Danio rerio: one gene and its partners. The protein of the gene in region 1 binds, or shares a complex with, the protein of each later gene. Links are inferred from orthologs where the notes say so. Each region holds a gene or a part of one and is shown in the gene's direction. Other genes may lie near its edges.

Region 1 (4,213 bases):
ATCCAACGCCATGTTGGAATTTCATTCCAAATTATATTTTTAGCTCAGTTGGGGGTTTACATTTTTTTTGTTGCACTGTAGTTTTGACATCTCTAAAATACCATTAAGTTTATCTTAAATATATTGGTCCCTTACATATAATTATAATTTTTCTCCTTGTGTCTATTTTATTTGGGATTATAAAAATAAATCTCTTTTTTTTTAAATAACTGGTTAAATAAAAATATACTTTTAGTTAGTCAGCTCTTAGATGACTGTGGTGTCCCTTTTCCATATGAAAAATATGATTAATTTTCTTTTCCTGTTCTCCCAAATGCCATAGATTTTGGTGCAATCCCTGATTGTGTTATACCTTTAGTCAAATCTAGCGCCAATGGTTCCTCAGATTCTTTTATTTTTGACAACACAAACCTTTTTGATGACCAAACTCTTCTCAGTTATATGTCAAACAAAGTTATTCGCTTGGTTATTAATATATCTCGGATCTCTTTACCTGCTTGCATAGGTTTTTAGAAAAATATATTTGGTGACATAAATTGGGATCAGTTTTGGCTTCTGTAGAAAAAAAAAAAAATTTTTATCTAATAAAGCTGTTGAAGTCTCAGTCAAAATCATTCATAAATTTTACATTCATGAATGTTAAAACTTTTTTTTAATTCAGAAAGGACTTTGATTTATCTGTGAACTCGTTAAAACACTCAAACTATTATATTGCATGTAAAACTTTTTTTTTTGGTGTAAATAATTGAAACTTGTAGGCCCATAATTTGCTGGAATTTTATTTATGTAACCCTTTTTATCTCTTTGTTCATAATGTATCTTTGTAATGTTCTTTCTTGCATAATAATAAAAAAGGATGTTCCAAGTTAATCAGAGGGGTAAATGTGTTTTATATATATATATATATATATATATATATATATATATATATATATATATATATAAAATCATTGATTGGATAAACATTTGCCTGTAAATGCAGTTTGTTTGTTAAATTTGAATACACGATACCCATTCGGTGGAATGTGCATATGAGCGTACATAAACATGATAGATGCAAACACTTTCATACACACGACGCACATACGTACGTATTAACTCGATCCCTGGATAAACACCCACATTAACACACACACACACACACACACACATAGATATAAACTCGCGACATGCAAACACATATGTTCTTTTTTATTGGGAGAATGTTATTTTTTTTACCATCGTCCCGCCTCCTGTGGTTTTTACAGCACACGATACGTCCGCTCTAGGACTTTCATTTCTCTTCATAAAATACAGCAAATGCGGAAGTGACAGTGGGTTGGGTTTGTTACGCTGGTCACAACCCACTTTTCTTTTATAAAAATGAATTGGGAAAAAAAGTTTATTTGCCAGTGACAGCACGCACTCAAGTGATCATGGCGAAGATTGAGTGGGCGATGTGGGCCAACGAGCAAGCTTTGGCTGCTGGACTCAGTAAGTCCACAAATACACTTTTCATATTTAGGTTCTAAAGAACATTTAAGCGAGTAATTGTGTTACATTGTGATATGTGAATACAGTTAAATTAAAACAATATAGAGCTTTAAAAAGAAGATAGGGGATATAATGTTGTTTAAACATAAGTTCTTGTTATGTAGGCTACCAGTTACATTTTTTAAAGTGTTATATGGGGTTTGGTAGGCTGCTTGAGCTTTATTATTATGTTATTAAAACCAAAAATATCATATTTAATTGATTATTTTTGAGTTGTAAAATATTATGTTTTATATATATATATATATATATATATATATATATATATATATATATATATATATATATATATATATATATATATATACATATACATATACACACACACATATATATATATATATAGTTTTAGGTCAAATACAGGCCTTTGTAAATGAAATGTGTAAATCTTTTTTCCTAAAGTTTATCTGACTGGTGGAATCGTTGGGGTGGCTGGTCAGTTCAGAGGCTGGCAGTTTGCAGCTTTTGGGATGTATCCTTACATGCTATGATTGAATGTTTATGCTCTTTCGGTCTTTCAGTGAGTAAAGTGCCTTATTAAAAAAATAAAGTACCACAGTCTATTTATTGAGACCTTAACTGTGAAAGTGCTGCTGGTGTGTTTGTGTGTTTGCTTGAATATCCACGCAGCAAACGGGGCAAAGGCACCAGTATTGAGAGAAGGTAAGTGTTGATGAAAGCCAAGTTACAGGAAGTACAGGCTGGTGATTTCAACACACCACCAACAATTCATAACCAAAAAAAACACTGAGTCATTTGTATAGTGACAACTTCCTTATGTGAACCATGCATTACTTAAAAGAAAGTTTTTATGTTTAATTACAGCGGTCAGTACTGCTTTACAGTGTGTGTAAAATCTTTTGGACCCCTGACCAGAAACTATTACGTCAGAGCTTTCTTACATGCTGCGTAAGTCGTCAGTCACGCCTTGTCAAGCATGTCCCTTTTTTTGTTTAAGATGATTTCGAAAACATTTTTTTTTTTTTTTTTGCTGTATAAGCTGGTGTCTTATCTTTGTGTGTGATTTACATTGCAGGCTCTGTGTCCCTGGAGGGTTCATGTTAGCCACAGTTTTGGGATGTGTGTGTCTAGGAATGGCAAGTTTGATCTACCTCTCTGTAAGTTCATCCAAATAAATGCAAAATAAATAAATGCTTATTTATCTGAAGATAAGGCAAACAACATGACTCAATTAATGTAACTGTAACAAAATGAAGATTGGGGAACTAAAACCTTAGTTTGCTTCCTGCACACTTACTTCCTCTTCAAAAACCCCTTTTCACTTTTAAACTGTTGCAGTTCACCCTAAAGAAATTTTTATTATTTCACCACTGATTGTTGGAAACTCACATTTCTTCTGTGAAACAAATAAAAGTGTAGAGAGCATAAAAAATCTTGATGTCACAATTTGTCATATGCTCATTCTTTGAAAATTAATTTACATTCTCCATTTGCATTAAACAGAGCAGATATTTTAATGCTGTTTCAACAAATGTTCCCATGTTTTTCTAAATAGGTGTTTATGAGTATTAACATTAGGGTTAGCTTTTGATTGTGAACTTTTGCATTATAGGCAGCTATTCATGGAGAGCACTGGGAGCCTATACTCCACATAGAGACAAAAAAACGTCTTGGGGAGAGCATCAAAGAACCTCCTCAAAACCCACCTCCCAGACCTCCCCCTGAACTGCGACGTAAAAAAGCAGATAACCTGGATGCTGCAGCATATGACAATCCTATGTCTGTCACCATCAACGAATAAAGATTTCCTAAAAGTGTAAATAGTTCAAGAGGTGATGGCAACAAGTAACAGTAATATGGAATGTTTATGATGAGTTATACAGACAAACTGCATTATCATCTGATATAATTGTCTTAAAACTTAGGATGTCACTCATTTGTTGTGTCTAAAATAATGCCACATTTTAGTTCCACTTTTTTGTTATATGTGTAACCTTTTTCTGTGTCTTTTTTTTTGTTGTCTAGAAACAATATTTTATTTATCTCTGATTTTTAAAGTAAAGAAAACAAAATCATGAGATGGTCATGTATGAATGATGAAAGCCTGTTTTAAAATGTTTTGTTACAAGGAACAAGGAAGTTAATTTCCTTTTGTGTCCTCTCGATGACTTGTTTGAAATGTTATATGAAAACAAACAAAAAAAACTTCATCTGACATCTACCAAGTAGATATAAACAATAAAGATAAATGGAAAATATCTGATTCAGATTTTCATATATTCTGATATCTTGATTTTTGTTCTTGAATGAGGATTAATAACGGCAACACTGGATGAGGTTGCAGCATCATCTAGTGCAGAGGTGGCCAACCCTTTTCCTGGATATCTACCTTCCTGCAGATGTCAGTTGCAACCCTGATTAAACACACCTGCCTGTAATTATCAAGTGTTGTTCAGGTCGTAATTAATTGGTTCAGGTGTGTTTGATCAGGGTAGGAGCTAAACTCTGCAGGAAGGTAGATCTCCAGGAACAGTACCCCTGATCTAGTGAGTATGCGGAGCTGTGATCCTTTTCACAGGATTGTTATTGGTCATCAGCATCTTAAATCCTTGAAAGTTTTTTACTATTTAGATTTTTTAAAAATTGTATGAGTATTTATATGTATTTATTTAAGTTTTATATATTTTTGCATCATATTTATATACAGTACTCTCCCAAT
Region 2 (4,403 bases), on another chromosome or scaffold:
TTTTTAATATTACAGGTTATACAAAAATATTCAATAAAGCAATACGCCCTCTGGATATTAAAAACAACGTAAATACAAATCTTGGATACAACAGTGCGCTTACAAAAATACATTGATACAGCAATCCTATACTTAAACTTAAAACATCCTATTTTATATAGGCTACTCTAGGAAATGTACATAAAATTACACGTACACAATATTAGACTTTAGAGAGACGTTGGTAATCAAGCATCAAGAGAGATGGGATTGCTTAAAATTATCATTTAGTTTGGGGCTAAGTTACAAATCGCATGTAAATTAATGTCTAATTAGGAACACAGAAAAGTTAGAGCAAAAACAATAGCCAAAATTTAATCTAGAAGTTTGGTGTTACGGTCACGTCATGTGCAATTATACTTGCAAAATAAATAAAATTATGTTTTACTGTGCTTCAAAGTGAAGTTGGAGTAATAAAGGAGTCTATTTAACAATTTGAACGACGTAACATTTTTAATTTAATAAGTTAAAATAATAGTGTTAGGTTATTTAAAAAAGGGTCAATTCAGTTTCAAATAGTATTGTTTGTTAGTAATGTACATTATTATACAAGTTCACTTAGCATACATAAAGTACACTTAAAATACTTGATCTTTAAGTACAATTTATTTGCACCTTATTGGCACACTTTTGAATTCATTCATTCATTTTCTTTTCAGCATAGTCCCTTTATTCATCAGGGGTTGCCACAGCAAAATGAACCGCCAACTTATCCAGCATATATTTTATGCATTGGATGCCCTTCCAGCCACAACCCAACACTAGGAAACGCCCATATAGGACAGCCAATTTATTCATTCATTCATTCCTCTACCTTTCGGCTTAATCTGAGGTCGCCACAGCAGAATGAACGGCCAACTTATCCAGCATATGTTTTACACAGTTTGTTCCTTTCTCTCTGCAACCCAGTACTGGCAATCATCTATACACACTCATTCACACACATACACCATACCCAATTCACCTGTACAACATGTCTTTGGACTGTGGGGGAAACCGGACCACCCGGAGGAAACCCACCTGAACATGGGGAGAACATGCAAACTCCACACAGAAATGCCTACTGACCCAGCCAAGGCTTAAACCCTCAACTTTCTTTCTGTGAGGCGATCGTGCTACCCACTGCGCCACTGTGATGCCACCTTTGAATTCATACAAGCAAAATCATTCTGAAGTCTATTCTTATTGTTTTTTTAAAACAGAAATTGTTCAACCTTGACCTCCTGTTTCTCAGTGCTATAAATATGAGAAAAGGCCATGCTCTATTATGTGAAATTAAGGTGTCAAGAGGTCAAGCTGCATGATCTGTTACAAACATCTGATTTCCCACAAAGGGTTTAAATTTAGGCAGAAGTCTAAAATCAGTTAATCATGGCTTTAAAATCGAAGATATAACAGGGACAATAACTCCACAAATGTGGACTTACTCAACTGGCAAATGCAAATCCAGAAGCAAGTGAAGCTGATCACTTCCTCTCTCAGAGCAGAGGCTGGGGGTTGTTCTCTTTCAGACTGCCTCTGCTCAGTTCACAACAGAGACGAGCAGCATTCATGTGTTCACTGCTCACCGTGTTTTGAGGGAGCATGTCCTTCGTAAGCACCCTTCGCCAGTGGGATGAGGCCGTGGCTTGTGTGGAGCAAAGAGACCCAGACGCTGCTCTCAGGATATTCCTCAGTATCGAGGAGAAAAACTCCAAGATCGCTTTCAACATCGGCTGTCTTTGTCTGAACAACAGTGACTTAGATGAAGCTGAAAAGGTACTCTTGTATGGCTGAATCAATGTTTTATACTACTTGATGTTTGAATTGTATTTTGAAAGTCTAAAATATTTGTGGCTGTAAAAAGGAAGTAAAAGTAGTTTTATTCTTTATGGGAAATGTATTTCTGTTTCACACCTGCAGGCTTTTGATGGAAGCATTGGCAAAGATGAACACCTGGCCGTGGCCTTTTTTCAGAGAGGAGTTACATTTTATAAAAAGGAAAAGTAAGATCATTACCTCTTGTCATGACACTTTAAAGGACAGTTCACCCAAATGTTTCTATTAAACACAAAGGAAGATAAACTGAAGACAGTTGAAAAAAAATCAGCCATTGACTTCCATACTATTTTACTATGGATATGCCTATCGGTTTCTTCAGAACATCTTTTTTTGTGTACAACAGAAGTTTGGAATCACTTGAGCGTGAGTAAATGACGAGAATTTAAATTTAAATTTGGTGAACCATCCTATTAAGTAAACGTTTTATGCTGTTCTGATGGCTCAAGGTACTTAAAAGAGTGGTCTAGAGTGTATTTTTAAGGCTTGGATGTGTTTATAAGAAGCAAAGCAATGTGTGATCATGCTTGATTTGTAGAAAATCACATTATTTTTCATATATCTTAATTATACGCTAATACTCAGCTAACATGAAAATGCCCGCCCTCAAGAGGCTCTGATTGGTCAGCTAACATAATGTGCATAATTTGCAAACCAGGAAAAGCATCACGCCTTTAATACTGCACGCTGTGTCTCTGCTTTGTAAATACTGTCGGTCAGAGCCAAATCAGTTTGAGCCTGAATCAAACAGAAAATGAAGAGGACACAGCAGAACCTTACGCCTGCTCTCTAAAATAAAATCTAACAAGTGTCTTTCACATATATTCAGAATAAGCATGTGTGTAATTAATATGAAACATTTGCATATTTTTTGCAAGTTTGTTATTTCAGATGTAGAACACAGGGAAAGCGTCCACATGGAGTTACACTGTAGCGCTGCAAAAGATTGTGACTGTTTACAGAGATTTGATGGAGAAATATGAATTTGTAGCTAAATTGTTAGCGGTTTACATCCTCACTACAACATAATGTTAACGCTTAAAACTGTGCATGTAATAGATCAGTTTTCTCAAATAAAAACACTTACAGGTTGTGGCTCTCAAACCACAGCTTCTTTGATTATGGTTGGAGCTGCTGGTTGGTTTTTAGCCGAACCAGCACTGAACTGGGAGAGATTCAGGAAGTTCTCCTTTGTCAAATGCTAGAGCTATATATTTTCATAATTTTCTGGAATTCCTTGTGCCGTGTCCTTTGGAAGCTTAAATACAGTAACAGAAGATGCTCTGTGAAAATTGCAGTTATTGGATGGCATTTTATCTCTTTTTGCTGTAACATACAGCGCCTCTGGCCACGCCCATTCGCTCTGCAGGGTAAATGCATGTAACCTGAAGCATTTGTGATCTCACTAACCTGGATTTTATTTTTATTTTTTGTAGTCCTCAAATTTTGTTCAATGTCGGCTTTGCTAAGCTAACTCTGTAAAAGCCAATGTCTCTCTTTGCATTGAGCGTATTACAGTCAGAGATGTTGTTTATGTTCACACAGCTACATTACACATCAATTAAAGTTTAAAATGTGATATAGTAGTGGACCGCCGCTTTAAGAGCCGATCACAAAATATCTCATTCCACTTTTAATAAACTGATGATCCTAACCTTCTCTCCAGGTTTGAAGAGTCTCTTCTGGATTTCCAACAAGCATTTAAGCAGTTACGAGGGAATCAACTAATTGATTACACACCTCTGGGGCTGAGATATAAACTTTATGCTTGTGAGGCAAGTCCAGATATTTTTTCAACTTTACTGACTTATTAATAGTTGTGATGTGAGTGACATTTTACACGTCTCCATTTCTGACTTGATGGTTTTTCACAAGAGTTTTCTCCTATATTGCAACATCTGACATTAACAGTCACCTCAGTTCATTCTCTAAAGCAGTCTTTTTGTCTTGTGTAATATTAAGGTGCTGCACAACATTGGACTGGCACAGGCGCAGTTGGGAAAATGGGAAAAAGCTCAAGAGAACCTTCTCACTGCTCTGAGCTTGAGAGCAGATGCCAAGTTCAGCCATATTGATCATGCGCTGGATGCCATTCTGGTCTGTATCTGCTTAACTTTCATTATCATAAACATGATTATCAGTTGCTAGGACTCATAAATTAAATTCCTGTTTTAATTTACAAGTTGGCCCTGAAAGTCATTGAATTATATGTTGACCTAATACTCTGTGGTTCATCTCAAACGTTTTGGTTGTTATATGAGGCAACGAAAGCTTGTTCTTTCGTAACTTGTCTAAAAAGTGGTTATGTTTGGTTTGTTTCACAATCAGAGGTTCTGGTTAGATTTTGAGGGAAGTTGTGTAAGTTTCAGAAAGGTCAAAATTCACGAGACAGATGATTTATACTCCGATATCCTTACATAAGTCATCCTTCTAGTAAAATGAACATCATTCTTTGTACGCATTTTACAGACAAAGTAAATTGTGAAAGTATGAGTCAAGGAAACACCAGAAAACACAGTAAAAGCAATTAAACAGTGAGGTTATAT
Region 3 (3,654 bases), on another chromosome or scaffold:
GAACTCATAATTACAACTTAACTGTTAACCTGTTAACTGGTGATTTTCTGAGAGCTGTACCATGTTTACAAATTTCACCTTATTGCTTCCAATGTATTTAGGCATTGATAGTATTGCCATATAAATTCAACATTCCACGTCTGAGGGAGAGAAAAGAACCAGTAAGAAGATGTGTTGTCTTATAGAAATTGCAGTAATTACTACATGGGATGAGCACATTGTCATGTGACACCACAGCATTATTATATAACTACAACAACTGACAAAATCAGGCACCGCCCCTCTCCTATTTAAAAAGCCATTTCTGTATCTTTTGATTGTGCATCAAAGCAGGAAAGAAAAGATTAATGGACTTTCATTTCAAGATTTTAAAAAGGTTGAACAGATTAAATAATGAGTGTTCATTTATTCATTCATTTTCCTTCGGCTTAGTCCCTTTATTAATCTGGGGTCGCCACAGTGGAATAAACAGCCAACTTATCCAGTATATGTTTTACACAGCAGATGCCATTCCAGCTGCAACCCAGTACTGGGAAACCTCCATACACACTCATTCACACAAATACACTACAGCCAATTTAGTGTATTCAATTCACCTGTACTGCATGTCTTTGGACTGTGGGAGAAACTCAAACCAGTGACCTTTTTGCTGTGAGGCCACCGTGTCGCTCCATAATAAGTATTTACTGTTTTTAATTAGTCATTTTATTTGCGATCACCTATATAAATAAACTCTTAGAATGATTTTGTGTAGTGTTCATGCAATCTGGACTCACTGTGTTGTCATGTATCATGTAACCTGCTAGCCATTCATTTACCTATAATATATGGTAGCAATACCTAATTTCTAATATCTAATTTACATTAGATTAGTCAGTACCAAAGACAAACTGGAGGAGTCATAACAAAATAACATTCCAAGATAACATTCCAAACATTTTTACAGCCAAATTATTGTTAAGGAAATATTTTAAATAACACTTTAAGAAAGAGGAAAATCATGAGAAACTAAAAAATATATCAAATGTAGTTGAAATATTGTAGGCTGTATTTTTTTTCCTCTCAATATTTTGTTTTAATTGAAATGTTATGCACACTCACCGGTCACTTTATTAGGTACACCTTACTAGTACCAGGTTGGACCCCCTTTTGCCTTCAGAATTGCCTTAATCCTTCGTGGCATACATTTAACAAGGTACTGGAAATATTCCTCCGAGATTTTGGTCCATATTGACTTGAAAGCATCACGCATAGCTGCAGATTTGTTGCCTGCACATCCATAATGTGAATCTCTCATTCCACCACATCCCAAAGGTGCTCTATTGCATTTAAATCCGGTGACTGTGGAGGCCATTTGTGTACAGTGGTCAGCAACAATCCTCAGGTAGGCTGTGGTGTTGACATGATGCTCAATATCTTTTTAAAGTAATACTTTATGTACACTTTATAGCTCACAATACATTGTCTGTTTTATTTGTCAGCTATTATATCATTGGTTCTTATTTATTTAACTTCAACGTTCACAACATAACAGTATGTTGCTGGATGATTGCTAGCCTGTTTCGATGGCAAGAACACTGTGGACTTGCTATGGAAACATCCATTGACCACTCAAGGTCTGCTCGGTGTGACTGCATGGGCTGCTTTGTGTATGGAAACAATGGTATTTGTGATTGTCAGATTAAAAGCCAACATTCAGAGGTCGGACCTTGAAAAGTACAGCAGTCTTTGCACACCTTTTCAAAGCTTTTTCTCCATCTGCTCTGCTCTGCATTTTTCACACTTTCTGAGAGAGCACTGACATTGTTTATGCGCATCGGCTTTAACCAGTGATTCAGCTAGTGCTTTCTGAGAAGATCTTTTCAACAAAAAGACTTTGACATATCCTAAAACGAAGTGAAACAAGGCAGCATGATTTCCCAGGACATTCTTTATTATATAACAAACTTACAAAGAGATTGTGGGATTGGTCATTAAAAAGAAAAAGAAGCTCTGAATAGCTTTAATGTTCGTCTATTTTATAGAAGACAAAAAGAAAGGCTGTATCTAGTCAAGAGATAGATTGATAAACAGCCGAGAATGAAGTGTTTTGATCTGCTCCTCTGCTCCCTCCAGTGGTACCCAGAGGTGAGGCATCACTGCCCTTCCACTCCAATTATCCTGGTTGGCACCAAGCTTGACTTGAGAGATGAGAAGGAGACCATCGAGAAGCTGAAGGAGAAGAAACTGGCACCGATCACTTACCCACAGGGTCTCGCATTGGCCAAAGAAATAGGTGAGGTGGCAGAGCTGGATTTGTCCTTTTTGTAACCCTGGATAAAATTACTCATACCACTTTTCTTTTTTTTTCTTTCTTTTTTTCAAATCTTATTGTGTGTGTTTAAATGTTGTCATGCAACAATGATGCATTAAACTAATCAAAACATTACAGGATATTACACTATTACAAATAACTTATTTAGCTAGATAATGTTCTCTAAAACTTTTTTATTTAACAAAGAATCCTGAAAAATATATCTGTTTCATGGTTTCTATCAAAAAAAATTAAGAAAAATTAACAATATTAACAGTTTTAACTATATTAACAATATTAAGAAATATATGGAGTCCTATTTTTTACCATATGTAATAAGTTATGGCTTTTTATCTCAGCATTGTGAATTAAAATATTTTTCAAGAAGAAAATCAGAATTGGGAGATTTAAGCTGACAATTTTGATAAAATAAACATGCATTTAAATAAAAAATCAGAAGTGCAATGACTTTTTTTAAATGATCGATTTCTGAGGTTATTAATATTCTTTTCTAAATTGTGTGAAAAGTCATTATTTCAAGATAAATAAATAAACCTGAATTCTGAGATGCAAATTTATCAGCTCTTTTACAGTTCTGACTTAATTTCCCTTTGTGGAAAAATGGCTTCCAAAGAAATTCATTTATTTTCCTTCGACTTAGTCTCTATTTTAGAGGTTGCCATAGTAGAGGAGTGAACTGCCAGCTATAGACATGCGGCCTCCATTTTAAAAGCAACAGCGATGCTGCAGGGGAAAGAAACCCGGAAGTATCACCTGGAGTCAGACAGGAATGGTGCCTTCGATGGCATATTGTTGAGTACCTCGCTGTATATCTTATTAGCAAAAAAAAGACACAAATTTATCATTTTACCAATTTCCAAGTGAACCGAAGGTTCGTTCTGAATGGATGGTGAAAATAAAAAGGGATATCGGACCTAATTTTCAGCTAAGTTAAGAGAAATGGCACTAGTTAGCTAAAGTTTTTTTTTTCCAAACACATGTTTTAGATGACATTTATCAAGTTCAAGTTAATGAAATAATTAATTCTTTCACTATATTAGACTTTTCACGATACTGAATTTGGGTACTAAAATTTAAATAAAAACGTAAATTTCCCGCTAACATTTAAGCACTGTTGTGCGCGTCTTAAACGCAGATGATTTGCCGTAGATAGTATTCACCAGTGCTCAACAGAAATGACTGTGATTGGCCGTGAAGGTCATCAGTTCACTGGACTTAACAGATGTTTACCAAATGCAAACACAGACGAGTGATCTGCTGATGAATCAACTGATCTTCATGGCTTTAAAACGCTCCAGTGTCCCTGTATCTGTGTTTGCACTCTGTGAAGAGTTGGTGAA

Evidence for each region.
Region 2: cyba (region 1) and ncf2 share a complex: the UniProt entries of both Homo sapiens proteins name them as parts of the phagocyte NADPH oxidase complex. The link is inferred for Danio rerio from reciprocal best matches to the Homo sapiens genes CYBA and NCF2.
Region 3: cyba (region 1) and rac2 share a complex: the UniProt entries of both Homo sapiens proteins name them as parts of the phagocyte NADPH oxidase complex. The link is inferred for Danio rerio from reciprocal best matches to the Homo sapiens genes CYBA and RAC2.

The regions. Positions count from the first base shown.
Region 1 is NC_133193.1:32,665,545-32,669,757, forward strand, and holds cyba (cytochrome b-245 light chain), read left to right. Parts: upstream 1-1,401; 5' UTR 1,402-1,415; coding exon 1,416-1,473; intron 1,474-1,935; coding exon 1,936-2,005; intron 2,006-2,121; coding exon 2,122-2,196; intron 2,197-2,358; coding exon 2,359-2,442; intron 2,443-2,569; coding exon 2,570-2,651; intron 2,652-3,106; coding exon 3,107-3,295; 3' UTR 3,296-3,757; downstream 3,758-4,213. UniProt on the Homo sapiens protein: Subunit of NADPH oxidase complexes that is required for the NADPH oxidase activity that generates, in various cell types, superoxide from molecular oxygen utilizing NADPH as an electron donor.
Region 2 is NC_133182.1:41,684,668-41,689,070, reverse strand, and holds the start of ncf2 (neutrophil cytosol factor 2), read left to right. Parts: upstream 1-1,581; 5' UTR 1,582-1,623; coding exon 1,624-1,797; intron 1,798-1,941; coding exon 1,942-2,024; intron 2,025-3,523; coding exon 3,524-3,632; intron 3,633-3,819; coding exon 3,820-3,954; intron 3,955-4,403. UniProt on the Homo sapiens protein: Subunit of the phagocyte NADPH oxidase complex that mediates the transfer of electrons from cytosolic NADPH to O2 to produce the superoxide anion (O2(-)).
Region 3 is NC_133178.1:28,282,606-28,286,259, forward strand, and holds part of rac2 (ras-related C3 botulinum toxin substrate 2), read left to right. Parts: intron 1-2,115; coding exon 2,116-2,275; intron 2,276-3,654. UniProt on the Homo sapiens protein: Plasma membrane-associated small GTPase which cycles between an active GTP-bound and inactive GDP-bound state.